7 linked regions of the Ovis aries genome follow. The protein of the gene in region 1 purifies or fractionates together with the protein of each later gene. This does not show direct contact. Links are inferred from orthologs where the notes say so. Each region holds a gene or a part of one and is shown in the gene's direction. Other genes may lie near its edges.

The links.
Region 2: the proteins of YAP1 (region 1) and PARP1 purify together in Homo sapiens (affinity purification with mass spectrometry, with the first as the bait; 3 studies listed by BioGRID). This does not show direct contact. The link is inferred for Ovis aries from reciprocal best matches to the Homo sapiens genes YAP1 and PARP1.
Region 3: the proteins of YAP1 (region 1) and LIN7C purify together in Homo sapiens (affinity purification with mass spectrometry; 5 studies listed by BioGRID and IntAct, with this or other methods). This does not show direct contact. The link is inferred for Ovis aries from reciprocal best matches to the Homo sapiens genes YAP1 and LIN7C.
Region 4: the proteins of YAP1 (region 1) and PDLIM7 purify together in Homo sapiens (affinity purification with mass spectrometry; 3 studies listed by BioGRID and IntAct, with this or other methods). This does not show direct contact. The link is inferred for Ovis aries from reciprocal best matches to the Homo sapiens genes YAP1 and PDLIM7.
Region 5: the proteins of YAP1 (region 1) and OTUD5 purify together in Homo sapiens (affinity purification with western blotting; 3 studies listed by BioGRID). This does not show direct contact. The link is inferred for Ovis aries from reciprocal best matches to the Homo sapiens genes YAP1 and OTUD5.
Region 6: the proteins of YAP1 (region 1) and RPL14 purify together in Homo sapiens (affinity purification with mass spectrometry, with the first as the bait; 3 studies listed by BioGRID). This does not show direct contact. The link is inferred for Ovis aries from reciprocal best matches to the Homo sapiens genes YAP1 and RPL14.
Region 7: the proteins of YAP1 (region 1) and DDX17 purify together in Homo sapiens (affinity purification with mass spectrometry; 3 studies listed by BioGRID and IntAct, with this or other methods). This does not show direct contact. The link is inferred for Ovis aries from reciprocal best matches to the Homo sapiens genes YAP1 and DDX17.

The regions. Positions count from the first base shown.
Region 1 is NC_056068.1:6,197,526-6,200,160, reverse strand, and holds part of YAP1 (transcriptional coactivator YAP1), read left to right. Parts: intron 1-1,118; coding exon 1,119-1,357; 3' UTR 1,358-2,635. UniProt on the Homo sapiens protein: Transcriptional regulator with dual roles as a coactivator and corepressor. Critical downstream regulatory target in the Hippo signaling pathway, crucial for organ size control and tumor suppression by restricting proliferation and promoting apoptosis.
Region 2 is NC_056065.1:28,697,306-28,701,465, reverse strand, and holds the start of PARP1 (poly [ADP-ribose] polymerase 1), read left to right. Parts: upstream 1-1,360; 5' UTR 1,361-1,537; coding exon 1,538-1,657; intron 1,658-4,160. UniProt on the Homo sapiens protein: Poly-ADP-ribosyltransferase that mediates poly-ADP-ribosylation of proteins and plays a key role in DNA repair.
Region 3 is NC_056068.1:56,971,575-56,975,074, reverse strand, and holds part of LIN7C (protein lin-7 homolog C), read left to right. Parts: intron 1-177; coding exon 178-296; intron 297-552; coding exon 553-624; intron 625-3,078; coding exon 3,079-3,288; intron 3,289-3,500. UniProt on the Homo sapiens protein: Plays a role in establishing and maintaining the asymmetric distribution of channels and receptors at the plasma membrane of polarized cells.
Region 4 is NC_056058.1:36,691,315-36,694,814, reverse strand, and holds part of PDLIM7 (PDZ and LIM domain protein 7), read left to right. Parts: coding exon 1-18; intron 19-200; coding exon of another isoform or gene 201-297; exon of another isoform or gene 298-571; intron 572-950; coding exon 951-1,021; intron 1,022-1,166; coding exon 1,167-1,404; intron 1,405-2,800; coding exon 2,801-2,981; intron 2,982-3,500. UniProt on the Homo sapiens protein: May function as a scaffold on which the coordinated assembly of proteins can occur. May play a role as an adapter that, via its PDZ domain, localizes LIM-binding proteins to actin filaments of both skeletal muscle and nonmuscle tissues.
Region 5 is NC_056080.1:56,126,274-56,130,302, forward strand, and holds the start of OTUD5 (OTU domain-containing protein 5), read left to right. Parts: upstream 1-1,229; 5' UTR 1,230-1,997; coding exon 1,998-2,591; intron 2,592-4,029. UniProt on the Homo sapiens protein: Deubiquitinating enzyme that functions as a negative regulator of the innate immune system. Has peptidase activity towards 'Lys-48'- and 'Lys-63'-linked polyubiquitin chains. Can also cleave 'Lys-11'-linked ubiquitin chains (in vitro).
Region 6 is NC_056072.1:13,302,206-13,306,254, forward strand, and holds the start of RPL14 (large ribosomal subunit protein eL14), read left to right. Parts: upstream 1-1,249; 5' UTR 1,250-1,272; coding exon 1,273-1,275; intron 1,276-1,808; coding exon 1,809-1,910; intron 1,911-2,471; coding exon 2,472-2,566; intron 2,567-4,049.
Region 7 is NC_056056.1:215,991,139-215,994,638, reverse strand, and holds part of DDX17 (probable ATP-dependent RNA helicase DDX17), read left to right. Parts: intron 1-447; coding exon 448-690; intron 691-1,490; coding exon 1,491-1,996; 3' UTR 1,997-3,500. UniProt on the Homo sapiens protein: As an RNA helicase, unwinds RNA and alters RNA structures through ATP binding and hydrolysis.

The DNA.
Region 1 (2,635 bases):
CCAGCTTAAGTGATGCGGGCCTCAGGTTGGCAGATTGGAAAGGTTAGGTGGTGGCCTTACATCCTTTATTGGAAGAGTTGCAGGAGCTTGAAAACCTCCCCCACAGGAGTGGTGCTCCTGTGGCTTACCCTTTGACCTGGACTTGGCAGCTGTCAGAGGGCATGAGCTGGCTGGGCAGTGAAAAGGCTCTCCAGCTCGCTGGCCCGTCAGCTTGCCGCTTCTGGGAGCGTTTGGCGGGGCTTCTGTGCTGGTGTGCATCCAGCCCGTGGCGTCGGTGTCCCTGGGAATCCACACCACCCTCTCCTCATCTGGATCTTAAGTCATCCGTACGAGTCACCTCAAACCCATCTCATTCATAACACCTTTCCTTATTCCTCTCTCCCCCGTTTCTCCCTTCTCTCTAAACTTTTATAACAATTAATGGTTTATGTTAGTTTTTCTGAAAGCCTAGTCCATGGAAGTGTTCATGAATGTTAACGTCATCATGGGCAAAAAAGGTTTCTTGGCCAGGTAAGTTTGGGAGACCAGTAAGCAAAGAAAGCTAGGAAGACTTACTTTTCCAAGGACTTCTGGGAGGCGTGGTTTTACTATTGTGAATGTGAATCTCCTGAGAGTGGGATAGAGTTTCATGCAGCCTTTTTATTTTATTCTGTTCCCCAGTGTGTACTTGCGAGAAAGACAGGCATACCCATGCATCTTTGTTTTCCCTTACTGTGGCGGTGCACGCCTGGAGCAGTCGGGTACTGACGCTGTTGAGTCACACCTGCGCTCGCTCTCTCTCGCTGTATATAATGTTTCGACGAAAAGTACTGATACAGTTGTGTCCTATCTGTCCTCTCTCTCTTGAGTATATAATGTTTCAGCGAATTTCTTCCCAGGACCCTCTTCAGTGCTGACCACGCAGGAATAAGCAGTCAGACTTGTTCAGTATCTGAACACATGAAGCTGAAGGAGACTTGGCATTGTTACTTTGCTCTCTGTAGGTTGTTTGGCCTAAAGTAAACTGTGGGCATCAGTGGAGGAAGTCCATCAGGAATGCGTTTCTTTCCCTACGTGTGTCACGATGTCAGCTTTTCAAAGGGACCTGTTTTCTTTCTGTCTCTCTCTGGTCCATCTAGGTGACACTATCAACCAAAGCACCCTGCCCTCCCAGCAGAACCGTTTCCCAGACTATCTTGAAGCCATTCCTGGGACAAACGTGGACCTCGGAACCCTGGAGGGAGATGGGATGAACATAGAAGGGGAGGAGCTGATGCCGAGCCTGCAAGAAGCGTTGAGCTCCGACATCCTCAACGACATGGAGTCTGTTTTGGCCGCCACCAAGCTAGATAAAGAAAGCTTTCTTACATGGTTATAGAGCCCTCAGGTAGACTGAATTCTAAATCTGTGAAGGATCTAAGGAGATAAGACCTATACCTGAAATTTCCAGTTAAGCCAGGGGCAGTCTTCTGGCTAATACAGAAAAAGATGAACAAACGTCCAGCAGGATTCTTTCATCCACTATTTTGCTCTTCTTGTCCATTGCTGCTGTTAATATATTGCTGACCTCTTCCATAGTTGGCTCTAAGGAATCAAAAACAAACTTTTGTTTCTTTTGCTATTATAACTACTGTTTGTTTTGGGGGCTGGGGAAAGTGAGCCTGTTTGGATGATGGATGCCATTCCTTTTGCCCAGTTAGATGTTCACCAATCGTTTTAACTAAATACTCAGACTTGGAAGTCAAATGCTTCATGTCACAGCATTTAGTTTGTTCAAGCAACTGTTCTTCAGCTGCCTTTGGCCAGTGGGAAAACATGACTTACTGGTCTAACAAGCCAAAAATGTTGTATCTGATGTTTAGTACTTAGACTGATTTGAAGAGCTAGCTGAAACCAAGGCTGAAGACTGTTTTACTTTCAGTGGGTTTTTTTTCCTCCTAGTGCTATCATTAGTCACATAGTGACCTTGATTTTATTTTAGGAGCTTCTAAGGCTTGAGATAATTTCCATAGAAATATATTAATTATTGCCACATACTCTAGTATAGATTTTGGTGGGTTTTATTGTGGGGTTTTTGTTTGTTTTTCTTTTTTTTTTTTTGGTCTTCATCGGAATTTTTATTGTCTTAGGGGTTTTGTTTTGTTTTTTTCTTTTTTCCTCAGAATCTAAGGCAAATTACCATTGTAGTGCATCTGTTTATACTTGTAGCTCGGGACAGCTATTATAGTTCCTTTGGTAAATCTACATGTCCTGGGTTTTTTTACCATCTTATTTAAATCTTGGTAATCAGCTCTCTTTATATATACCCACACACACTTAATAATGTTTATAATAGTGTGATAGCAGAATGTATCTTTTTTTTTTTAGTTTTCCCTACTTTCCAATTTATTTTAAAATGGTAGCTATGAATGTATGCATTTAGAATACAAGACTAGTAGTTTATATTTCACAAATAGTTTAAATCCGGTTGGGGTAGTGTGCAGTTGGTGGTGGTTTAGTGTTCTAGAAAGGGCTGTTCTTATGGATAGTGCCTCCAGGAGTCTTGTATGCCCTCTGGGCACACAGTGGATATTATCTGCTGAATTTGAAAGAAGTAAACAAGAAATGGCTTTATTATCCCCTTTAGCTTTGGAAGAGTACCTTTGCCTTAGTTTTG
Region 2 (4,160 bases), on another chromosome or scaffold:
CTTACTGTATGTTTAACAAGTTTTGTTTCATTCATTCTGTTTATTTTCCTCTACAGAATGGAATATTCTCAAACAGAGCATATTCCATTATAATCATGTTTTAGATGAATAAAACAAAATGCATAGAATTGAAAAAGAAACCAGGTATATACAGTTCTACATTAAATAACGAGACCCAAGGCGATGGCACCCCACTCCAATACTCTTGCCTGGAGAATCCCAGGGACGGGGGAGCCTGGTGGGCTGCTGTCTGTGGGGTCGCACAGAGTCGGACACGACTGAAGTGACTTAGTAGGGTGGGAGGTCTTTCAGTGACTGAAATTTAAGCACTGATGTGCTTAATACTGAGTTCTCCCTGTTGACTAAAAAAAGATGTACAACTTGAGAGTTGTGAGTTAAGTTTTATTTGGGGAAAAATGGGGACTGCAGCCTGGGAGGCAGGATCTCAGATATCTCTGAGAGACTGCTCCAAAGCAGCAGTGGGGGGAAAAAGTCAATATATAAGATTTTGGTGAAGGGGGAGTTCACTGCGATGAAACACTCATTTTACAAAAGGTTTTTGTTAGTCATGAGGATCTGATGTCACCATAAAGGGATTTAGTGCTTCTCTAGATGTGAGGAGATGCAAGGACTGAGATCATAAAATCTGTTCCTAAACACATCCAACTATCTAAAGACCTGTCCCATCAGATTCCCTGGAGCACAGAGTGCCTCACTCCACCCTGAACTCCCTCAGGGTTGTTGAAGGTCAACAGCTTTAGCAGCATGGGGTTCAATCTCTGTAGAGGCAGACGGCAAATGCCTTTGTTGTCATTGGCAATGCTCTTGGTAAGTGCCAATTTGTACCCAGCAACTGTAAAGTGACATGAAAGTGCTGTGATAACGATTGATGAGACTCCCGAAATTTGTATCCATGCATTAAAATTCAGATGAAGGCGATGCTAGACTTCAGTTAGTATTCGGTCCCAGTGGTCCGCGGACTGTAGTCAAGCCCAGGCGAGGGCCTGCCCAGGTCCTTCGGCTGCCAAAGGACTTTCCCCAGCCAGTCCAGATCTGGCCGCCCTCAGGGGAGAGGGGACACATGCATTAAGAAGCGACAAGGGTGGAATCAGCTGTGAGGACACTTAAGCCTTCCTGGGGACAAACAGTTAAAGGAGACAAATGGTGAAAGGACTGGCACCCCGTCCTTCCCAGAGCTGCAGGCGAGGGGTCTGCCCCGCCTCTTGCCTCCAGCATCCCGGAGGATGGTCGCGCAGCCGCGGGCGCCGGGGAACTACCGCCCCCACCCGCGGCCGGTAGGGGGCGAGCGCGCGCCGGCGGCCCCGCCCCTGCGCACGGGCGCCGGGGCGTGCCAGCCGCCAGGCATCAGCAATCTATCCGGAGCGGCGGGTGGCCTGCGCGGCGTGTTCGGAGGCGGTGGCGGCGGTTCAAGGCGCCTGGCCGCCTGCGGGTAGCGGATCGGTGGGTGAGGTGGCAGTAGCAGCAGCGGGTCTCCAGATCGCGGCGTCGGGCTCCCGGAGCTGTAAGCGGCAGGAGAATGGCGGAGTCTTCAGACAAGCTCTATCGGGTCGAGTACGCCAAGAGCGGGCGCGCGTCTTGCAAGAAATGCAAAGAGAGCATCCCCAAGGACTCGATCCGGATGGCCTTCATGGTGCAGGTGCGGGCGGAGGGGGCGCTTTGTGCGCGGCCGGGCCTTCGCGCGTCCGAGGAGGGTGGGGGGAGGGCCGGCCCGGAGCCGTGGGCCTGGCCGACCGCTCCCAGCCAGCGCGGGGCCTGCGGGCACAGCTGCTATCGCGGGACAAGCCCGCCGGGTGGACCCTTCTTCCGTCAGGTTTTGCTGATCTTGCAGGAAAAGCCCGGGAAATACGGTCTGAAGCCGGTGGGGCCTTTTACTTTGTGAAAATAGGGAGCCGCTTCTAGCCTTAGTTCTGGGTTTATTACCATACGCTTCGGGAAGGAAACTGACTCGTGGTTTTTTGAAGCTAGTCTGGTTTTGACCTACCTTGTTTTTTGAAGCTAAGTCTGGTTTTGACCTACCTTGTCCTACATTGACGGTGGCGACTGGCAAGTGACGATTTGGATTTTTTTTTTTAATCGGTTTTTGGCTATCATTTCAACACCCACTCACTCTTTTTTTTTTAATTAATTATGCAAAACTATGTAAGTCGATGTCATTTCAGTACAGTGCGTTCACTTTTGTCTTACGTTATGGTTTAACATTTTCCCCCAAACTTTCCCAGTTCACAGAACGTCGTCTCTGTAGCTATCCGGTTTGAGTAAGAGTGGTTCCTAGTGATTCTCATCTGGGCTTATTAATAGATTCAAGATTCCCTCCAGTGGTCCCTGAGGCTTCCGAGCAGGCCAGGAGGGGTGTTGGAGTGAGGTGGTGTGTCTGAAGACCCCTCCCAGGCAGAGAGATTCCTGCCACTTCCAGCTTCCCAAAGCTCCCGTCTGTTTGTGTAATTCTAGTTCCCACCCTTCCTGTCCTCCCCACCCTAAGGTAAAGCTGTTGTCCAAGCTTAGTGCTCATGGTCAAGATAGCTTGATTTTCCCTCCACCGGTGAGGCAGTAGGTATTTTAGGAATGACTAGGTGGTATTGCTGCATTCGCAGTAGTTAGGTGGTGTAGGGGAATGGGTATCAGTGTGTACTTGGGCTATCTCATTTCATAATATTGTTACCAAATCCCAGCTCAATCTGCTTACTGCCCGACAGGCTAATTGAAGCAAGGAATACTAACTTTATTATTTGGGAAGTCAACTGACTGAGAAAATGGCAGACTGTTGTCTTAAAATCAGCTGTCTTGTTGGGGTCTGGATGCCAGCTTCTTTTATAGGACACAAAGGGGAAGGAGGTGAGAAAGGAAAGATCATGTTCTTGCAAATCTCTCCTGAAATGGCCAACCATAGGGAGGGGAAAGAAAGAAACTGAAGTTGCTTGGTCGTGTCCAACTCTGCAACCCCATGGACTGTAGCCTGCTGGGCTCCTCCATCCATGGGATTTTCCAGGGGTTGCCATTTCCTTCTCCAGGGGGTCTTCCTGACCCAGGGATCGAACCCAGGTCCCCGGCACTGCAGGCAGATTCTTTACCATCTGAGCCACCAGGGAAGCCCTTAGAGAGGGGATGTATGTGTTAATCACTTAAGGCAGAGGGGCAGGGTGCCCGGAGGCAGGTTATTATATATGATTATAATAACGAGCAATGAAAAATAAAGGTTAAAGTCCAATAAACAGATCCTGATCCATCTGGGAGTTCTCAGGTGGCACTAGTGGTAAAGAACCTGTCTGCCAATGCAGGAGACCTGAGAGATGCAGGTTTGATCCCTGGGTCAGGAAGATCCCCTGAAGAAGGAAACGGGAACCCACTCCAGTATTCTTGCCTGGGAAATTACATGGACAGAGGAACCTGACAGGCTCCAACAATATGACAGGGGTTGGCATCGTCATCTTAGTATCATTCTCAGGACCACCTAGCTCACTACCCAACACTTATCGCTTAGTAAACACTCACTGAATACCGGTTAGGTTCTAGGCGTTAAGTACCAGGGGCACAAGGACAGACTCCATTTCTGGGAGCTCCCAATTTGGTTAAAGGGGTGATGACTGGTAAACATTGCTGTGCTGGGGTGGGTGCCACCTGATGGAGCTGTGCCCATGGCATGGTGGGTGCCAAATTGGAGCTCACCACAGAAGTGGCAGAAAGTTGAGGATGGAGGAGTAGACGAGGCCTCCTGTTTGAGAAGCCTTATCTCCCCCAGAGCGTCTTTTCATTTCATCCTAACGTTTGGGTGGCTGGCTGATCTCGTGAACTCCCCATTAATACAGGGGCTCTTAACCTGGAGTCTGTGGGATGGCACATAGAATTCAAGAGGTCCATGAGTTTCAATGAGAAAAGATTCCTGTCTTCCCTGGACTTCGGTTACAATTCATTACTTTCTACAGTTACGAATGGAAGCCCCAAAGCAAAGGCACATTAACAGTAACTGCAGTTTTTGTCATCAGTAGTAGTTATTTTCATATCATTTACAGTTGTTGGGGATTTTTTTAAATAATCATTTATACTCATCTCAACAAGATCGTGGGCTTCCCTGGTGGCTCAGATGGTAAAGAATCCACCTGCAGTGCAGGAAACCTGGGTTCGATCCCTGGGTTGGGAAGATC
Region 3 (3,500 bases), about 51 Mb from region 1:
TACATTCCCACCCTCCATACATGAACCCCCCCACACACAAGTTCATACTCTTAGGCTTTTTTTTCCTCTGTGTTCTTATATTTCTAGTTAGCCATTGAGGAATAAATCCTAAATGCTGCACTGTTACAGAGGCATTTAGAGAAAATTATCTATCAGTGTGTGTTTGTTTAACTCTAGATATTTGTAGAGCAATTGAATTGTTGGAAAAACTGCAAAGAAGTGGAGAGGTACCACCACAGAAACTTCAGGCTCTACAAAGAGTCCTTCAGAGTGAATTCTGCAATGCTGTAAGAGAGGTAAGTAAATGTGATTAAAATTGACTATGAACTTGCGTTATTTAGGGTAAGATAACATTCTGAAATTTGGGTTTGTAGTTTCTTAAAGTTAACTTTAGAACCCACTCCTCTCATTTTTGGAATTTCTAACAGAAAAACATGGTACAAAGATGCATAACTTTTTCTGAAATTTTGACACATTTGTTAACTTTAAAAAGAACTCAAGCTTGTTATATTTTGAGATTTAAAATCACAGTGATAACTTTGGGTTTTGCAGGTATATGAACATGTCTACGAGACTGTGGACATCAGTAGCAGTCCTGAAGTGAGAGCTAATGCAACTGCAAAGGTACATTTTTTTCATTTACTGAAAGTGAGAGGATTCATCACAAATTAGAGGTTTAAAATGTGACGTTATTAGTTTCATAATAGACTTATTTTAAAAACTAACAAATAGTACCTTTCAAGTTACACTAAACTCGATTACTGAAAAGTAGGATTTTTTAATTGGCTTTACAAACACATTTTATGCAGTCTGCTGCTACTGCTAAGTCGCTTCAGTCGTGTCTGACTCAGTGCGACCCCATAGACGGCAGCCCACCAGGCTCCCCTGTCCCTGGGGTTCTCCAGGGAAGAACAGTGGAGTGGGTTGCCATTTCCTTCTCCAGTGCATGAAAGTGAAAAGTGAAAGTGAAGTCGCTCAGTCGTGTCTGACTCTTAGCGACTCCATGGACTGCAGCCCACCAGGCTCCTCTGTCCATGGGATTTTCCAGGCAAGAGCACTGGAGTGGGTTGCCATTGCCTTCTCTGTTATGCAATCTAGATGATACATTAAAATATATTTGCACACAAATAATACATATATATAATATGTGGTTGCTGTAGGTAATATATATATCATTATTTAAATATTCATCAAAATTCTGAGGTATGGATTATTAGTCTCATTTTATTGGTGAGGAAGCATCAAATTAGATTACTTGCTTTAGATCACACAAATAGTAAATGGTAGATCTGAGGTACTCCCCTATGTTGCCATTCACTTTCTCCTTAACCTTAACTCTTCAAATAGGAGGTTAACTCCTCAGAGCTACAGGTGGCAGCTTTTATGTGTTTTTCTGTACCAGTGTTTTCCTCAAATCAAGCATTGATCTCTGTCCATCATATGTGGTGGTGGTGGTTCAGTCATTAAGTTGTGTCTGACTCTTTACAACCCCATGGACTACAGCATACCAGGCTTCTCTGTCCTCCTTTATCTCCTGGAGTTTACTCAGATTCATGTCCTTTGAGTGGAGTTTACTCAGATTCATGTCCTTTGAAGCGATGATGCTTTCTAGCCATCTCATCATATGTGGGTTGGAATAAGTTTCTGTCAGTAGCAGGTGACTCATACTGAAACTAGTCATTAGCAGGTAACTATTCATTGATGGTTAACTGGTTCACAAAAGGCAACATTGGATTCTCTGTTGAGTCTTGTGGGTATTGTTTGACAGAGTGGGAAAGAACAATTAAAAATCGCCAGTCTATGTCTGACGCAGGATGCAGCATGCTTGGGGCTGGTGCATGGGGATGACCCAGAGAGATGTTATGGGGAGGGAGGTGGGAGGGGGGTTCATGTTTGGGAACGCATGTAAGAATTAAAGATACTAAAATTTAAAAAATGAAAAAAACAAAAAACAAAAAAACCCTTGGGTTTAATTCCTGACTTTCACAGCCTCCTGAACTTGTGAGCCTTTGTTCCATTATCTCTAAAATGAAGCCTGTTTAAGAGTTTAGAGTATTCAGCAAATCTTGATTTTCTCTCTTTCTTCCCATGTTTCTCATATACCCTGATTTAATACACAAAGAAATAGTACCAGATTACATTTAAAAGCAAAATGAAACCCGAGTTCTCAACTTTGTGTTAGAATTCCTCTGAATTAGTCTAAACTTGAAAGATGTGGCTCTGTATGGGTTAATATACAGAGCAAATAGTACAGCAGCCAGAATGACTGCATAAAAGGACACCTGCCTACGTTTAGGTTACGCACATGGGTTGTGCCGCCCCAAATGCCCCACAGTTGGTGGCATGTGAGGAGAGGGGCTTCTCCTTGTTAGTGTGCACAGCGTTCATCTTCCTGGCAAGGCCTGCTTGCCAAGCACTGCACAGAAGTTCTGGGCACAGGAAGGACCAGGAGTGACCTGAACTACCTCAGCACTTTCTGCATAATCCCAGAGTAAGCTTTCCAGTCATCCTCTTAAAAACACCATCTACTTAGCTTACCTTCACTGTCAGTGAATTTATGGACATTCAGACATCAAAAATACTTCAAAAATGGTTTTTAATTTGATACTGATTTCTAATTATCAGTATCACTGATTCCACAGTGATAAGAGAACACACTCTTATGATTTCAGTACCTTTAGACCATGAAATTATTCTATTTTGTTTTATGTCCCTGGATATGTTTCAGTTGTCTACTGGTTTATAGTCTATGGGAACTTGAGTAGAATTTGTATTATGCAATTGTGTGAAAATTGTATAAATCTTATGTTGAATCCATTCATAGTGCTTTTCAGGTCTACTATCTCCTTCTTTTCTATCATTGTATTAATTTTTGAGAGTTTGATATTGAAACTCCAACTGAAAATCTACTTAAAAATGCAGTGGGACTGTATGTAACTTGGTTCTGTATTTTTCAAATCTGCTGTAAGTTATGAGGTTACCATACCCTCATAATTTAAAAAAAGAAGAAAAAGTGGTTTTTAAAAAGGGACAAAAGAGTGAAGTATTTTTTTAAATACGTGTAAAATTTTCTTTCAGGCTACCGTTGCTGCATTTGCTGCCAGCGAAGGGCATTCTCATCCTCGAGTTGTTGAGCTACCAAAAACAGAAGAAGGCCTTGGATTCAATATTATGGGAGGCAAAGAACAGAACTCTCCAATCTACATCTCTCGAATAATTCCAGGTGGAATTGCTGATAGACATGGGGGCCTCAAGCGAGGAGATCAGCTCCTTTCTGTTAATGGAGTGGTAGGGATGCATTTTATTTCTGCTTGACCACTTGGGGGTGTATTTGAGTTATAGAAACAGTCGTGCCTGACTCTGACTCCATGGCCTGTAGCCTGCCACACTCCTCTGTCCATGGGGATTCTCCAGGCAAGAATACTGGAGTGGGTGGCCATGCCCTCCTCCAGGGGATCTTCCCAACCCAGAGATTGAACTCAGGTCTCCTGCATTGCAGG
Region 4 (3,500 bases), on another chromosome or scaffold:
GCACCTGAAGAAATCAAGGTAACAGGTCAAGCTGCAGCCCCTCCTTCTCATCTCCGGCCTCTCCCATTCCAGCCCTGTCTGCTCCTGGCCATCCCTAGCCAGGTTCATCCGTTCTCCTTCCTTCCTCTGGTCCTCCCTCCCTGCCTCCCTTCCGTCTCTCCTTCCTTCCACTTCCTTCTCCTTCTCTCTCTACCCCTCAGGGAAAAGTATGTCCTGGAGCTGCAGAGCCCACGCTACACCCGCCTCCGGGACTGGCACCACCAGCGCTCTGCCCATGTGCTCAACGTGCAGTCGTAGCCTGGTCCTCACCAGCCGGCTGCCCTCTCTGCCTCTTTCTTGCTGTTCCTCCGCCCCAGGGCACCTCCCCTTGGCGCCTCCAGCTTCTGCCTGCCTCACCCATCCTTTTTCTGCCCCTGGACTGAGCCTCCTGCTGTCCTGGCCCCAGCTGCCCTCCTGGCACAGGGCCCGGCTCCATCTGACACCACTGCCTTTACTCTTTGCCCTGTGGTACTGCTGTCTGCCAGGTCTGTGCTGGCTTTTGGGGCATGAAAATAAACATTCTCAGCCCTGCTTTCTCTGCCTCTGTTCTCTTATCTTTGTGGACTTGGTTTGCATTTGGGGTCAGGGGTGTTAGATGGTTCAGATCCAGTGTGGGCCCTGCCAGTATGGGTCTCAGTGGGTGGGGGTACTCAGCAAAGGGCCCCCTGCCATCAGAAGGACCCTCGCGAGCGGCCCCAGAAGTGAGAGCCCTGCTTCACCTCCCAGCCCTGTGCGACAGACCAGCCAGCTGGAACCTGGCCAGGAGAAATTGCCCTACCCATCCCTGCCCTGGGGGGACCTGGAGTCCTCTGCTGTCATGCACCCAGGCATCTCTCATGGGGCCAGCAGGACCAAGTTTGGGGGGTGGGGCCATGCCAGGAGCCTCGGCCGTGCAGGGCCTTGAATGACAGATCTTACAGCCAGGTGCCCAGGACGGAAGCCCCAACCCCAGCCTCAGCTACACCCCAGGAACCCTGGCCTGGTGAGAGAGCGTGGGCTTGATGGGGAAGGGCGGGTAACCTCCAGAGGCATGGGGGTCGGGCCCCTCCAAGCTGCCCCAGGCTCTCCCCACTGTCCTGTGGTGTCCCTGGGCACCCCCATGGAGCCACTTTTCCTGGCCTTGGCAGGCCCTACCACCCCCAGTCCCACGAGCCGCCCACCCTGGGCTGTGGACCCTGCATTTGCTGAGCGCTATGCCCCGGACAAGACCAGCACGGTGCTGACCCGGCACACCCAGCCAGCCACACCCACGCCTATGCAGAACCGCACCTCCATCGTGCAGGCCGCCGCTGGAGGGGGCCATGGCGGGGGCGGGGGCAGCAACGGCAAGACTCCCGTGTGCCACCAGTGCCACAAGGTCATCCGGTGGGTGGCCCCGTTCCTTCCTACCCTGGTCTTTTCCTGAACTGGAACTCCAGCCCTTTCTGACCACTGCTCCTCCCATCTGTCTCCCTACTCATCTCAGCTGCCCCCTGCTCAGCCTCTCTTCAACATTTGGCCTGGCAAAATGGAGGGGTTGCCAACGACATAGCCAAGCTGCAGCCCTAGACTCGCTGCTCTCTGGGCCAGGAATGGCCTCCCTGCTCCCAGCCCCTCTGCCTTTCTCCTTCCTGCTCACTTGGTTTCTCTCTGCTAAGCCTCTCAAGTTCCTCCCTCTCTGCGCTGCTCCCCAGGGCCCAGCAGAGTCCCACAGCCCCCAGAATCGGATCTGTGTCAGGCCCCAGAACCTTCCTAGTTCTCATACGAGGCACTGCCCTGCTGTCAACTCCTGTCAGCTCTTAAGCTCTGGAAAGCACCCCCTCGTTCAGACATCCCCATTTATCTGGGATGGCCGGGTCCCTCTCCAGCATGGATGGAACAGGCCAGCGGAACAGAGTGGGCACCAGGCTCAGCTCAAGTACCCACTGGTCTTCAGGGCTCGCAGGTACTCCAGGCCTGCTGTCCCCCAGGACACCAACCCCTTGGGTTCAACTTATTAGGCTCAAGTCAGCAGTCTTCACCCAGTGTCACCTTCCTCCCTTTCCTGACACTACCCTTCTCCCTCACCTCCTGTCATCAAAACAGTGCAGCTTTTTAAAATATTTATTTGGGTGCCTCTGATCTTAGTTGCAGCACGTGGAACCTTAGTCGCAATGCACGTGCTCTCTAATTGTGGCACATGAGCTCAGTCGCCCGGAGGCATGTGGGATGTTAGTTCCTCAACTAGGGATTGAACCCGTGTCCCCTGTCTTGGGAGGCAAATTGTTAACCATTGCACCACCAGGGAAGTCCCACAATAGTCAGCTTTGTCTTGCTGTTTGATCTTAGGCAAGTCACCTTTCAAGCCTGTCTGTTCCCTCTTTGGAGAAGGCAGTGGCACTCCACTCCAGTACTCTTGCCTGGAAAATCCCATGGATGGAGGAGCCTGGTAGGCTGCAGTCCATGGGGTCACTACGAGTTGGACATAACTGAGCAACTTCACTTTCACTTTTCACTTTCATGCATTGGAGAAGAAAATGGCAACCCACTCCAGTGTTCTTGCCTGGAGAATTCCAGGGATGGGGGAGACTGGTGGGCTGCTGTCTATGGGGTCGCACAGAGTCGGACACGACTGAAGCGACTTAGCAGCAGCAGCAGCAGCTTCCCTGTTTGGAGATGAAGAGAATGAATGTTCCCTTCAAGGTTTCATAATGGGTGTGGGGTAAACCCTGTGGGGTGCTGGCCAGGAACCCCGACTTCATTTGCACCCACTCCCACTCATTGCCCTCTCTTTCGCCTGCAGGGGCCGCTACCTGGTGGCGCTGGGCCACGCGTACCACCCTGAGGAGTTTGTGTGCAGCCAGTGTGGGAAGGTTCTGGAAGAGGGTGGCTTCTTCGAGGAGAAGGGGGCCATCTTCTGCCCACCCTGCTACGATGTGCGCTATGCACCCAGTTGTGCCAAGTGCAAGAAGAAAATCACCGGCGTGAGTGGGGCTGGCAGCTGGCGGGGGTGCTGGGAGGGCAAGCCTGACTCTTCAGCGTTGAGGAGTGTTGAGCAGCTCCTGGGCTGGGGGGCTCTCCCTGCAGGACCCTGTTGGAACCTTACCAGCCTCATAATTGGGCTACTATATTGACCTTACTTTACATTAGCCAGGATTGTCTTTACAGGTGACTTAAATCCTAACTCTAAAGGGCTCAAGCAGGAGAGATTTGGCGCCAGTAGTCAGAAAGGCTGAGGGCTGCTAACTTCTGGCCCAGCTGAATGCAGATCCAGGTCGTCAGGAGTCTTGCACTTGCCTCTGGTTTCATCTGTGTTGGCTTTGTTCCCAGCTTGCATTTCCATAGAAAGCGGCAAGATGCTGCTACATCAGTGGCTCCAGGGTTGCATCTCCCAGGTTAGCACTGCAGAGAAAGAGAGCACCCCTGTGCCAGCTGATGCATCGAGTCCCAGTGCTGATGCTCGTTGGCCTGGCTTGCTTCACATGCCCATCTCTGAATCAAGC
Region 5 (4,029 bases), on another chromosome or scaffold:
GAGATGGTCATGAGAAGATTCAGTGTGATAATTTGCATAGGCATTTGGCACAGTGCCCTAAACACAAGAAGCTCAGTAAACGTGAGTCTTCTCCTCCAATTTAGTCTCATAAGCAGAAAATACTATTATAGTCTTTATTACTGACACCTTTCAGGGAAGACCTTTAACTAGGGTTGGCATCTGAAGGGAGAAGGTTAGGTGGCACTGAAGAGAGTTATATGATGGCCTATTATATGGCTTGGCTCCTAACACTGGCAAGGAGCCCTCGCATCTCACAACACTTTCTTCGTTCATGAGCTCAACTCACCCCCATAACTAGAGGTAGTCTGGGAAGGCGTTATCATTCCTGTTTTACACATGGGTGAGCGACTTCACTTTCACTTTTCACTTTCATGCATTGGAGAAGGAAATGACAACCCACTCCAGTGTTCTTGCCTGGAGAGTCCCATGGACGGGGGAGCCTGGTGGGCTGCTGTCTATGGGGTCGCACAGAGTTGGACATGACTAAAGCGACTTAGCAGCAGCAGCAGCAGCAGCAGCAACCTCAAATTTGAGACACTGACTTCCTCAAGGTCATACAGTGGTAATGGTCCACATGTGCCTGGAACTGAGGTCTTCCTGACTCAAAAGGTTGGGGTCCTTTCCATTGCACCACAGTACAGACTAATTAGTGATGTGCCAGGCATTGCACCAAACCCTTTGCAAGGATTAACCTTTTATCTTAAATTGGGATTATCATTGCCATTTACAGAGAAGTAGAAATTAAGGATGGGGTGGGTATTAAATGACTTGTCAGAGATCACCCAGATTGAAGAGGCACAGCTAGGATTAGCTTGTAGTTCTCCATTCGTTCAGTAGCAGGTAAAATTCCTGCAGTAAAGACGCTGGCTGGTGACCGAGCTGGTTTATAAACATTGCTCGATTCAGGTAAACAGTTTCAGAGGAGGGGGAAAAAAAAGAAAAAAAATTATGTGCCGCGCCTGCGCGCTAGCCACGGAGGCGGGGAGGTCAACGCGAGGGCGAGTGTACGCGGATGCCAGAGAGGGCGTGTTTGCTTCCCAAACACCCACTTGTCCCCACGATGCATGTCTGTCCCAAGGTTGGCCCGTCCGACTTGAGTGGTGGCATCTCTTAACCAATCACCGCGGAACTCGGCCTGTTGCCAGGGTGAGGCGGCGCCCGCCTCTCCACCGGATGTGAATTTGTAGGTGGGTGGAACCGGAATTGACGCTTCAAGGGCTAGCTAAGCTCTGGGAGTGTTGATATTTTTGCAGTCAGTCCGGCTGACTTCGGCCAACTTAAAAGCCTGGAAGGGAGGCGACTTTAAACTTGTGCGTGGGCAAGCCACGCTATTCTGTCGCAGTGCCCGCGCCTGCGAGCCAGAGCCTCGGGGAAAGAAGAGCCGGACGGAACCAGTGAAGGGAAAGGCAAGGAACAAGGGTGCCGACTTTGACTGAAATCTGAGACGGAGGGCAGGGGAGGGCGACGTCCGCTTCTGATTGGCCCGTGGTCATCATCGAACACCCACGCAACCGCTTCGATTGGTTGGTGCTCGCAATTGTTGTGGCGGCGGCGAAGATTTTGCCCACGTACTTCCGAACAAGAGGCGGGGCTGTGCCCCGGCGCGCCTGCGCAACGTTCCAGGCCCCACCCGGTAGTTCAAGAACCTGCGAGGGGGCGGGGCGAAGAGGTGCTTGTTTTGGTTCTGTTTCCTTTGAAGCCGTAGGCCGGAACGAGCGTAGCAATAAAGTTGTTGGACTTGGAGAGGCTACGACAAGCTCGCCGCGGTGCCTTAATCTTGGACTTCACATCCGGGTTCTCCTGCCGCGTGACCCGCGTTCCGCCGACGGTTCGAGAACCGGTGCAGCGAGCTCTTTATCCGGGTCCCGGCGATCCCGTCGTCCTTCGCGCACCACTGTAGCCCCCCCCACCCCATCCGGGTCCTCTCCCAGCGTCCCCCGCGGCGGGTTTGCTGGGGGCTACTCGGCGGTGCCGCCATGACTATTCTCCCCAAAAAGAAGCCGCCGCCTCCCGACGGCGACCCCGCCAACGAGCCGCCGCCGCCCGGACCGCTGCCCCCGGCGCCTCGCCGCGGCGGGGGTGTAGGCGTGGGCGGCGGCGGCACGGGTGTGGGCGGCGGCGACCGCGACCGTGACTCGGGCGTCGTGGGGGCCCGTCCCCGGGCTTCGCCACCGCCTCAAGGCCCTCTTCCAGGGCCACCGGGTGCGCTTCACCGCTGGGCGCTGGCCGTGCCGCCTGGCGCCGTGGCGGGTCCTCGGCCACAGCAGGCCTCTCCACCTCCTTGCGGGGGCCCCGGAGGTCCCGGCGGCGGTCCTGGTGATGCGTTGGGTACAGCAGCGACGGGCGTGGGCGCGGCGGGTGTGGTGGTGGGCGTGGGCGGTGCCGTGGGTGTGGGCGGCTGCTGCTCAGGGCCGGGTCACAGCAAGCGGCGGCGTCAGGCCCCCGGGGTTGGTGCGGTTGGCGGGGGCAGTCCTGAGCGTGAGGAGGTCGGCGCAGGTTACAACAGTGAGGATGAATATGAAGCGGCTGCAGCGCGTATAGAGGCCATGGACCCCGCCACCGTCGAGCAGGTATGGGCATTGGGATGGGGGAGGTGAGTGAGTGTGGTGGACGGGATCCCTAGACTGGCTAGGAACCCAAGGAAGGCTGTTTGAGCCTGCTCCAAGGGGCCTATGTCTTTTCTCTTGAGTCTGGCACTCTTCCCTGGTGATGGGGTTGCGATATACTCTCCCACCCCGCCCCCCCCCCCCCCCCCAGGGATTTGGGATTAGCGGCCCCAGATAAGATGGAGGATTTAAAGATGGAGTCTGTGGTCTCTTCTAGGACCCATAGTTGATTGTGGGCCCTGGGGCCTCATCGTGTAGGGCCAGTAGGTAGGCACTCCCCAGGAGAGACAGGCAAGGAGAGTCTCGTGACTCTCCAAAGGACCTTGGTTTGTGTTTGGTGACTTGAAATTTCTTTTCCCCTGGAATGAGATTCTTAAGATTCCTCCTCCTGGGAATACAAGTAAGGTGGCTACCTCAGAGATACGAGTGTCCCCAGGATACCTAAATCCTTTTCAGGGGTCTGAGACACTATATAGGACAACCCTTTCTCCTCCTCAGGGGGATACAGCACAGGACCATGCAGCAGTGGAGTCTGAGACTCCCTTTTCTAGAAGTCAGGGACCTCACACACACACACACACACACACACACACACACACATACATATTCTCCTATGATCTCTTTCCACTTGAGTACTAGGATCAAAACCAACACCCTGGGACCAAAAACTCTACTAGGGTACATGAGATTCATCCCTTTCTAAGTGACAGGGGTCTGTGCTTTCTCTAAGGGATCTGAGACCTCCTTGGAGACAAGAGTCTGAATCTTTCTCTAGGAGCTTAAGCTTTTTTTAAGGGCTGGACACGCCTCCCCCAAGCTTAAACCTTTCTTCAAGAAAATGAGACTCACTGTTTTGTATACTGGAGCCTAGGATTCCCCCTGCTTATAGACTGGGCTTTTAGGTCTGAAGCCCTCTTCAGGAAATTGATATCCTCCTCAAAGGTCTCTAGGGGACTTTACTACTCAGGGACTGGTCTGAGTATTCTCTTTGGGCATCTGAGACCCACTGTGCCAAGGATTCTTGCGCTTTCCCTCAAGGATAAGAGATGCATACATACCTCACTAACTGGCATGTCTCTAGAGATGAGGTCCACGCTTCCCCCTCAAGGAACTTAAGGCACTCCTTGGGAGCAGGAGGTCTCCCAGGACCAGAATTGAGCCCTGAGACCTTTCCCTTGGGGCATGGATAGAGTCCCTCTGGAATAGGGTTCTGCATCTCCCATCATGAGTTTGACTTTGCCTCGGGTTCATGAGAGACACCTCCCCCACCTTAGGACCTGATTAACTGAACCTACCCTGAAAGAACTGTCCCCTCACTTAAAACAGCATATGTGTACCCTAGTCTTAAGAGGCCTTTTGCGGTCATAAAATTTCCTGCCTTGGGGACTTGAGCCTAAGCCCA
Region 6 (4,049 bases), on another chromosome or scaffold:
AAGGCAGAGATTTGAATGTTCACAAGCTGAACACACTCGTGTAACCAACACCCAGATGAAGAAACGCACCAGCAGCTCAAAAACTCCGCTTCCCCCTCCAAGCCACTACTTCCTGCACCAGGGGTAAAAGTGACTACTAACGTAGTTTGCCTGATTTGAATTTTCTATAAATGAAATTACAGAGCATATACTTGAGACCTATGAAACAACTGGCCTGTATTTTTAAATGTCAGTAATATGAAGGACAAGGGTAGGTTTATTACAGATTTTAAAAGACCAGACATAACTAAATGCAGGTTGTAACCCTTCACAAGATCATAGGCCCGGAAGGCTTTTTTCATTTGCTGGGAATAACATAAATGGAACAATTGCTAATAGTTAAATAAGGAGTGCAAATTAATAAATTACGTGGGAATTCCCTGGTGATCCAATGGTGAGGATTCTGGGCTTTCACTCTAGGTCAAGAGTCTGGACCCTTGGTCTGAGAACTAGGATCCTGCAAGGCTTGAGGCACAGCCAAAATCATACATATATACATACATGTGTATATATAAGTGTGTGTGTATATACATATGCATACACATGTATATGTGACTATTATACAGATATATGACTATTATTAACTTACTGAATTTGAGTATTGTACTGATTATGTAAAGTCATGCCCTTGTTTCTAGGAAACATCACATTTAAGTGTAAAGGAACATCATGTCTGCAGTTTCCTCGCAAATGGATCAAAAAAATTATTAAGCAATAGGAAAATGTTAACATTTGGGAACTCGAAGTGAAAACGGGAATTACTTATACTTGTTTTGTAACTTTTCTGTAAAGTTTGAATTCTTTTAAGAAGAAAGGTTAATAAAATTAATGGGGTCACTTACGGAGAGAAAAAAATTGTACTAAGACATCAGCAACATTTAGACGAGTAGTGAAGAAAAGATGGAAGAATGTTAAAAGATGAAGTCAAAAGGACTGCAAACAGTCACAAAAGAAAGCACAGTTTCTGTGCCCTTCTGCACCTTGAAGTCTTAAGAGACAGCTGCTCACGCGCGGTGTCGACTAAGCCAAGCCCACGAAACCCAACCGCGAAAGCATAGCAGAGCTCCAGCAGACTCCGCCATGTTTTCCCGGTGAGCATGTGTGCGCATACGTGCGTACGTCCCAACCAATCGGTGCCCACGTCGGCGACCCTTTCACTACCGGGGCGGGGCGGCCTTCTACACAGGCGCAGGGTTGGGCGGGCCTTCTTCCTTCTCGCCGAACGCCGCCAACATGGTGAGTATCGCCGGCGCGGGCTCCATGTCTGACCGCTATGCCGCTCCAGCTTTGCCTGGGCTGGGGGTTGGAGGCGAGCAGCGGCGCTCAGTGGATCTTAGGTATAGTGCAGTGAGGTTCCCCGGGTGGGCAAGACACAGGAGTTGGGAGCTTTCAGGATGCGCGTCCGCGGAGCGCGTGGAGGGCCCGGCAGGCCGGGCGCTCGCTGGGCCACGCGTGCGCGCTCTGGCCGCCTCCGCTGTCTCGTTGCGGCGGCCGGTCGCCTAGCCCGCCCGCCGGGGCCGAAGCAGGACAGGGCATGGTGGTCTGGCCGTGCTGGCTTCTTAGACGGGGAGGCCAGCGGGAGACTGACTTGCTACCGTTTCCTCTGTGGATTTCGTCCATCCTGGTTGTTCCATGGCACTTCGGCGTGTTCTCCTCAACATTCTTTTTTCCTGTTTTTAGCCGCACTATGTTTAAATTGCAAAGACTGGCAAACTGGATCGTATTTTTAATCAGTCTCGCTGTTCTCTCCCCCCGCCTCCCAATTTTAGGTGTTCAGGCGCTTCGTAGAGGTTGGCCGGGTGGCCTACGTCTCCTTTGGGCCTCATGCCGGGAAGCTGGTCGCGATTGTAGATGTTATTGATCAGAACAGGGTAAGTGTAAGGAAAAGTGTCACGGCTTTACGTGGCAGTGTAGACGACAATGGTAATGGTTTCAGCGGCCCTCTTAAGATAGGAGTACTATGGGTGGTAGTTTTACTTAAACAGCCACCGCAAATAGGGGTTACATAGCAGAGGCTTGAATTGACCTGTTACTACTGGGTTTGAGTAATACTTCTAACTAGGCAGTTTTAAACTAAAGGTGGGCTAAAACATGGGCGAGATGTAAATCATTTATTATGTTCAAAGCGAGTTTGGAACAAAGCCATAGAAAGCCTTTTCTTTCACATAGAAAGCCCTTGTTTCCTATTGTCACTATTTGAGCACCACAAACTAAGGGATTGAGCAGATAGTTTTTGGGAAATGGAAGTATTAAAGACAAAACTATGTGTTGGGTTCTATGCTTAACTATCACTGCTAACTCTTTTTAACCTTTAAGAAAGCATTTAAATATAAGAATTTGATGATTCTGAAAAGACTAATATTATGTAGGATATCTGCATTTTGAATGCTGTTACATTTTTATACTGAGATCCTTGATCTTATGTCTTCTAGGCTTTGGTGGATGGACCTTGCACTCAAGTAAGGAGACAAGCTATGCCTTTCAAATGCATGCAGCTCACTGACTTCATCCTCAAGTTCCCACACAGGTCACTATCAAACTATCACCCTTCCCATAGTTTTGTTAATACTAGTAAAAGTTTGCTTAATTTCATTTAAAAATGTTGTTGGTTATTTCGTTTTTCTCTTAAGAATATAGTAAGCAGTGTGAAAGTGAGAGCCATTTAGAAGAGAAAGTTGCATTGTAAAAGTAGACAGACATTTACTTCTAAAATGCCCTGGGATCCGGTGGTTCTCTGGCTTTCCCTTTGTCCAGATTTCCCATTCTTTTTCTCTTGTACCCCTTTCTTTCAGGATTTGCACAACAAAGAACTTTCTGTATGTGTAGTTTCCTGAACATGTGTTAATCAATTTTAGCTTTAGAACAAAAAAAATACTATCATTAGTTGAACTTTTCATATGTGTCAGCTAATATTTAACATAACATCTCTCCTTATGACAGCCACCAGAGAGGTTCTCTTCCTGGCTATTCATGAGCAATTAAGGCAACCATTCTGTGATTCTTGGCATGATGTAGGTTACAGAAGTTAAAAACTGATGTTGCTGTGTGGTGACAATTGTTTGCAATGTAACCTGTGCTATGACTGGTTTACTTTCTAAGCATACTGGATTTTGATGTTTGAAACAAATACCAAAGTGGTTACAATTCCATTTTATGGCATTTGAACGCAAATCTTCAGGCATTACTGTACAGAATGAAACAAGGCACAAGGGACAACTACGTTATGGCTCAGACGGTAAAGCGTCTGTCTACAATGCGGGAGACCTGGGTTTGATCCCTGGGTCAGGAAGATGCCCTGGAGAAGGAAATGGCAACCCACTCCAGTACTATTGCCTGGAAAATCCCATGGACAGAGGAGCCAGTTAGGCTACAGTCCATGAGGTCGCAAAGAGTCGGACACTACTGAGCAACTTCACTTCACTTCATGTTATTCTTTATGAAAACGAAATTGCTTTCTGCTGCTGCTGCTGCTAAGTCGCTTCAGTTGTGTCCAACTCTGTGCGACCCCAGAGATGGATGGCAGCCCACCAGGCTCCTCCGTCCCTGGGATTCTCCAGGCAAGAACACTGGAGTGGGTTGCCATTTCCTTCTCCAGTGAAAGTGAAGTTGTTCAGTCATGTCTGACTCTTCGCAACCCCATGGACTGCAGCCTACCAGGCTTCTCCGCTCATGGGATTTTCCAGGCAAGAGTACTGGAGTGGGTTGCCATTGCCTTCTCCAATTGCTTTCTACTCATCCACTATTTGGGTGATATATGCACATTATTGGAGGTGATTTTTAAGCCCAGAAAGTGGAGTGGTTCACATATTTTTTTTTTTTAATTGTGTTTTGAGGATGTAAGACATCTTGGCTTAGTGGACACTGTTGGAACAAGTAGAACATTGTGCCTCGTGCTGTTTTCTGTGGAGACACTACAACTGGCAGTAGAAAAAACAAGGGTTCTTGTGGCATTTTTCTTGTGCTTTTTTAACTTGTGCTTTTTCAGAGGATGAAAAGCTGTCCTTGAATCT
Region 7 (3,500 bases), on another chromosome or scaffold:
CTCTGTGACTGGTTTAAAGGTAAGTTTGTTATATTACTGGTAGATTTTGCCAGGCTCTCCCAACAGAGTAGAAGTGATTTGGCCTTGTAGCTTAATGGTGGTATTACCTTAAACATTCCAGTTTTGAAAAAGATGGAACTGGAATTTAGTACAACTCCTGTCGGTATGTTGGTTAAAATATGAAAGAGGCAGGAGTTTGAATGGTTGAATGGGATTCCCTTAGGATTTTACAGCTGATGCTTTCTCTGCATGTCCCAAGCATCATTAATCCTCTTTTACTCTGTTGGGATGAGTCTTTTTTGTTCCTGTTCAGAGTGGTTACTAACTTAGTCTTCTCTCCTCTTGCTGTCATCTGCATTCGTGCTTCCCACCTGTTGTTGGCATGTCCTTTACCTTCTCTTTCCCTGCCACATCAACCTACACACTGACTCATCGTTGGCTTTGAAGATGTGGAAGATGTCAAGTTTGTGATCAACTATGACTATCCAAACAGCTCAGAGGATTATGTGCACCGTATTGGCCGAACAGCCCGTAGCACCAACAAGGGCACTGCCTACACCTTCTTTACCCCAGGGAACCTAAAGCAGGCCCGAGAGTTGATCAAAGTGCTAGAAGAGGCTAATCAGGCTATCAATCCAAAATTGATGCAGCTGGTGGACCACAGAGGAGGCGGCGGAGGAGGGGGTAAGGGTAAGTCCTGGAGTTTTCCAGGTACTGCCAAGGTATCTTTTTTTGTGTTCATTGTGCCTTGTTTGTTAATCCAGTGGAGGTTAATGTTAACGTTGCTTAATAGTTCATAATCTCTTTTGAGTAAGACAGAGGTCTGAGCGACTGTCATAGCCTTAGGTAGTATGTTGTAGTATGTTAAGTTTTGAGTTATCCATATGGAGAAATCAGTAATGTTACATGGGCAAAGGTACTGCATCTGAATTGGACAGTTGTGAAATATACTAGCTAGGGTCTGTGTTTCATGCCCTTTCCCTCAGCTTAATATATGTTGAAGCTCTACATCAAGATTCCCTTAGAAGTTTTTAAAAGTACAGACTTTTTTAAGTGGGCTTGGAATTGAACTAGGAACCTGAACTTTTCAAAACCCTAAAGCTTGAGAGATTACTCTGATGCAGTAAATGTCTGGAAAGTAACATTTGAGAACCAGTGTGCACTAGTAGAGGATTCCTTTGTTGTCATATGAACCTAGCTGCTTGGGGCTTTTTTGTTTTTAAATCATCCTTACCATTTTCCCTACATTTTTAAGAGTGTGTTTCTTGGTAATCCTCAAAAAAAAAGGCAAAAGATGAAAAGTTGACTATCCTTTAATGTTTACCATTCTTTGAAGGTATCTTCTTAAAGAATCAAATTATATTTTTAAAGTAGTTATTTGGAAGCTGACTTAGCTAAAGATCAAGAAAGAACTGTATCTAGTAACATTTTTACATGTGGTTGTGTTTGGATCATATATCTGGCGTTGAAAATTCTTGTGTCTTCATCAGGCGGCCGTTCTCGATACCGGACCACTTCTTCAGCCAACAATCCCAATTTGATGTATCAGGATGAGTGTGACCGGAGGCTTCGAGGAGTCAAAGATGGTGGCCGGAGAGACTCTGCAAGCTATCGGGATCGTGGTGAAACCGATAGAGCCGGTTATGCTAACGGCAGTGGCTATGGAAGTCCAAATTCTGCCTTTGGAGCACAAGCAGGCCAATACACCTATGGTCAAGGCACCTATGGGGCAGCTGCTTATGGCACCAGTGGTTACACAGCCCAAGAATATGGCGCTGGCACTTACGGGGCCAGTAGCACCACCTCAACTGGGAGAAGTTCACAGAGCTCTAGCCAGCAGTTTAGTGGGATAGGCCGGTCTGGGCAGCAGCCACAGCCACTGATGTCACAGCAGTTTGCACAGCCTCCAGGAGCTACTAATATGATAGGTTACATGGGGCAGACTGCCTACCAGTACCCACCCCCTCCTCCTCCTCCCCCTCCTTCACGGAAATGAAGCCACTCAAGTGGTAGTGACTTGTGCAGACTTAACTACATTTAAAGGAACGCTATCTTTTCCTATTTTTCTCTTCCCTTTTTCTTTCTCTTTTATAACTTTTTCCCCCAACCATTGTGATTTGTCTTTAATGCAGATTAGTTAGGATTCACTGCCAGGTTTCTTCTGCCTGCCAAAATGATCCAGTCTGTAATAACAGATTTTGTAAAAGTATATATATGTATGTATAGCCGACTGGAAGAGGTTTTCCCCCCAACTTCTTGCATGTTGAGGATATTTGAGCTATTTTTCATCTTAAAAGAAAAAGTAAGGTATTAGGCCCTTTTGTGGGAGCCCCCCCCCTTTTTTTTTTTGGTCCTGAGTTTGGGTGGGGGTGGAGGGTTGAACTCTGCAGAAGATGGCACCTGTGCTTTAAATTGCTCTCGTACTGGGATAGAAAACCGAGAGGGAGTTCCCTACACATTTTCTGTATTTTTTTTTCCTTTGGTCTTTTTCAAGCTGGAACAAGGTTCCTTAGGCCTGATGAGTTTTTAAGACCACGCTTTGCCATTGTCATTTTGGCTGATTGCTTAAGTGCATTTGATAGTTTAAAGAAAAATCCTAATTGGCTTTGTCTCCTTTACATTCTGCCTTCCCCCTTCCCAAGTACTGAAACAACTTTCTAATTGTCAGGTTAGAAATTAAATTGCTGAGATAAGAGGTTTTTTTAAAGTGTATCCTTAAAAACCCAAATGTTTATTGCAGTGGTTAAATGCAGTGTCTCAGCATCTGGGTGGGAGCTGCCTGTTTTTCTTCCCCATGACCAGGGACCATCTGAAATACATCCTCCTAACCAGACAGCTGCTGTGAGCAGAATGAACATAGATGCTCACTGGAAATTTATTAACCAGTTAAATATGCATTCACCTGCAGTGTAAGAACTACGTTTAAATAAATGATATAGTCAGTGGGCAAATTTTTTCTTTTTAAACCCAGTATTTGTAGAGGTAGAGTAACAGCAACCCTATTGGCTACTCAGCCCTTTTGGCCAAGTTATCTTGAAGGTCTAAAGGGTTTATTGAGAAAGAACTCTTCTGTCTTCACACTGTTCTCTTCAGTGCTTTGTAACAGCTTTTGGATGCAAATTTTCCTCAGCATCCTTTCTCACTCAGCTTTTTACAGGTAGGTAGTGCTTAAGAAAAGTTAGAGGACTAAAGCCCAAGTCCTTTTACTTTACCTCCACCTGAAAGGTAGGTGAGATTGTCCCTTTTGTAGTAATACCAACTGTTTTACTGAGACTCCTATAGCAGATGGGCCTGGAAAGAAATTTCTGTTCTTGTGTTCTCTGTAAAGAGGACAAGGAAATCAGACAGCCTCAGAAATCCCTTCATGTCCAGTGTGGGACTGTTAATTTTTTATTGGTGTTATCAGTATTGATGGTGTAGTTAAGGGGGAAGGCTTCATTGCATTCTTTGGCTTAGGCCTGAGAGTGCTTACTAGTTTGTAAGATCAAAATATCTAAATC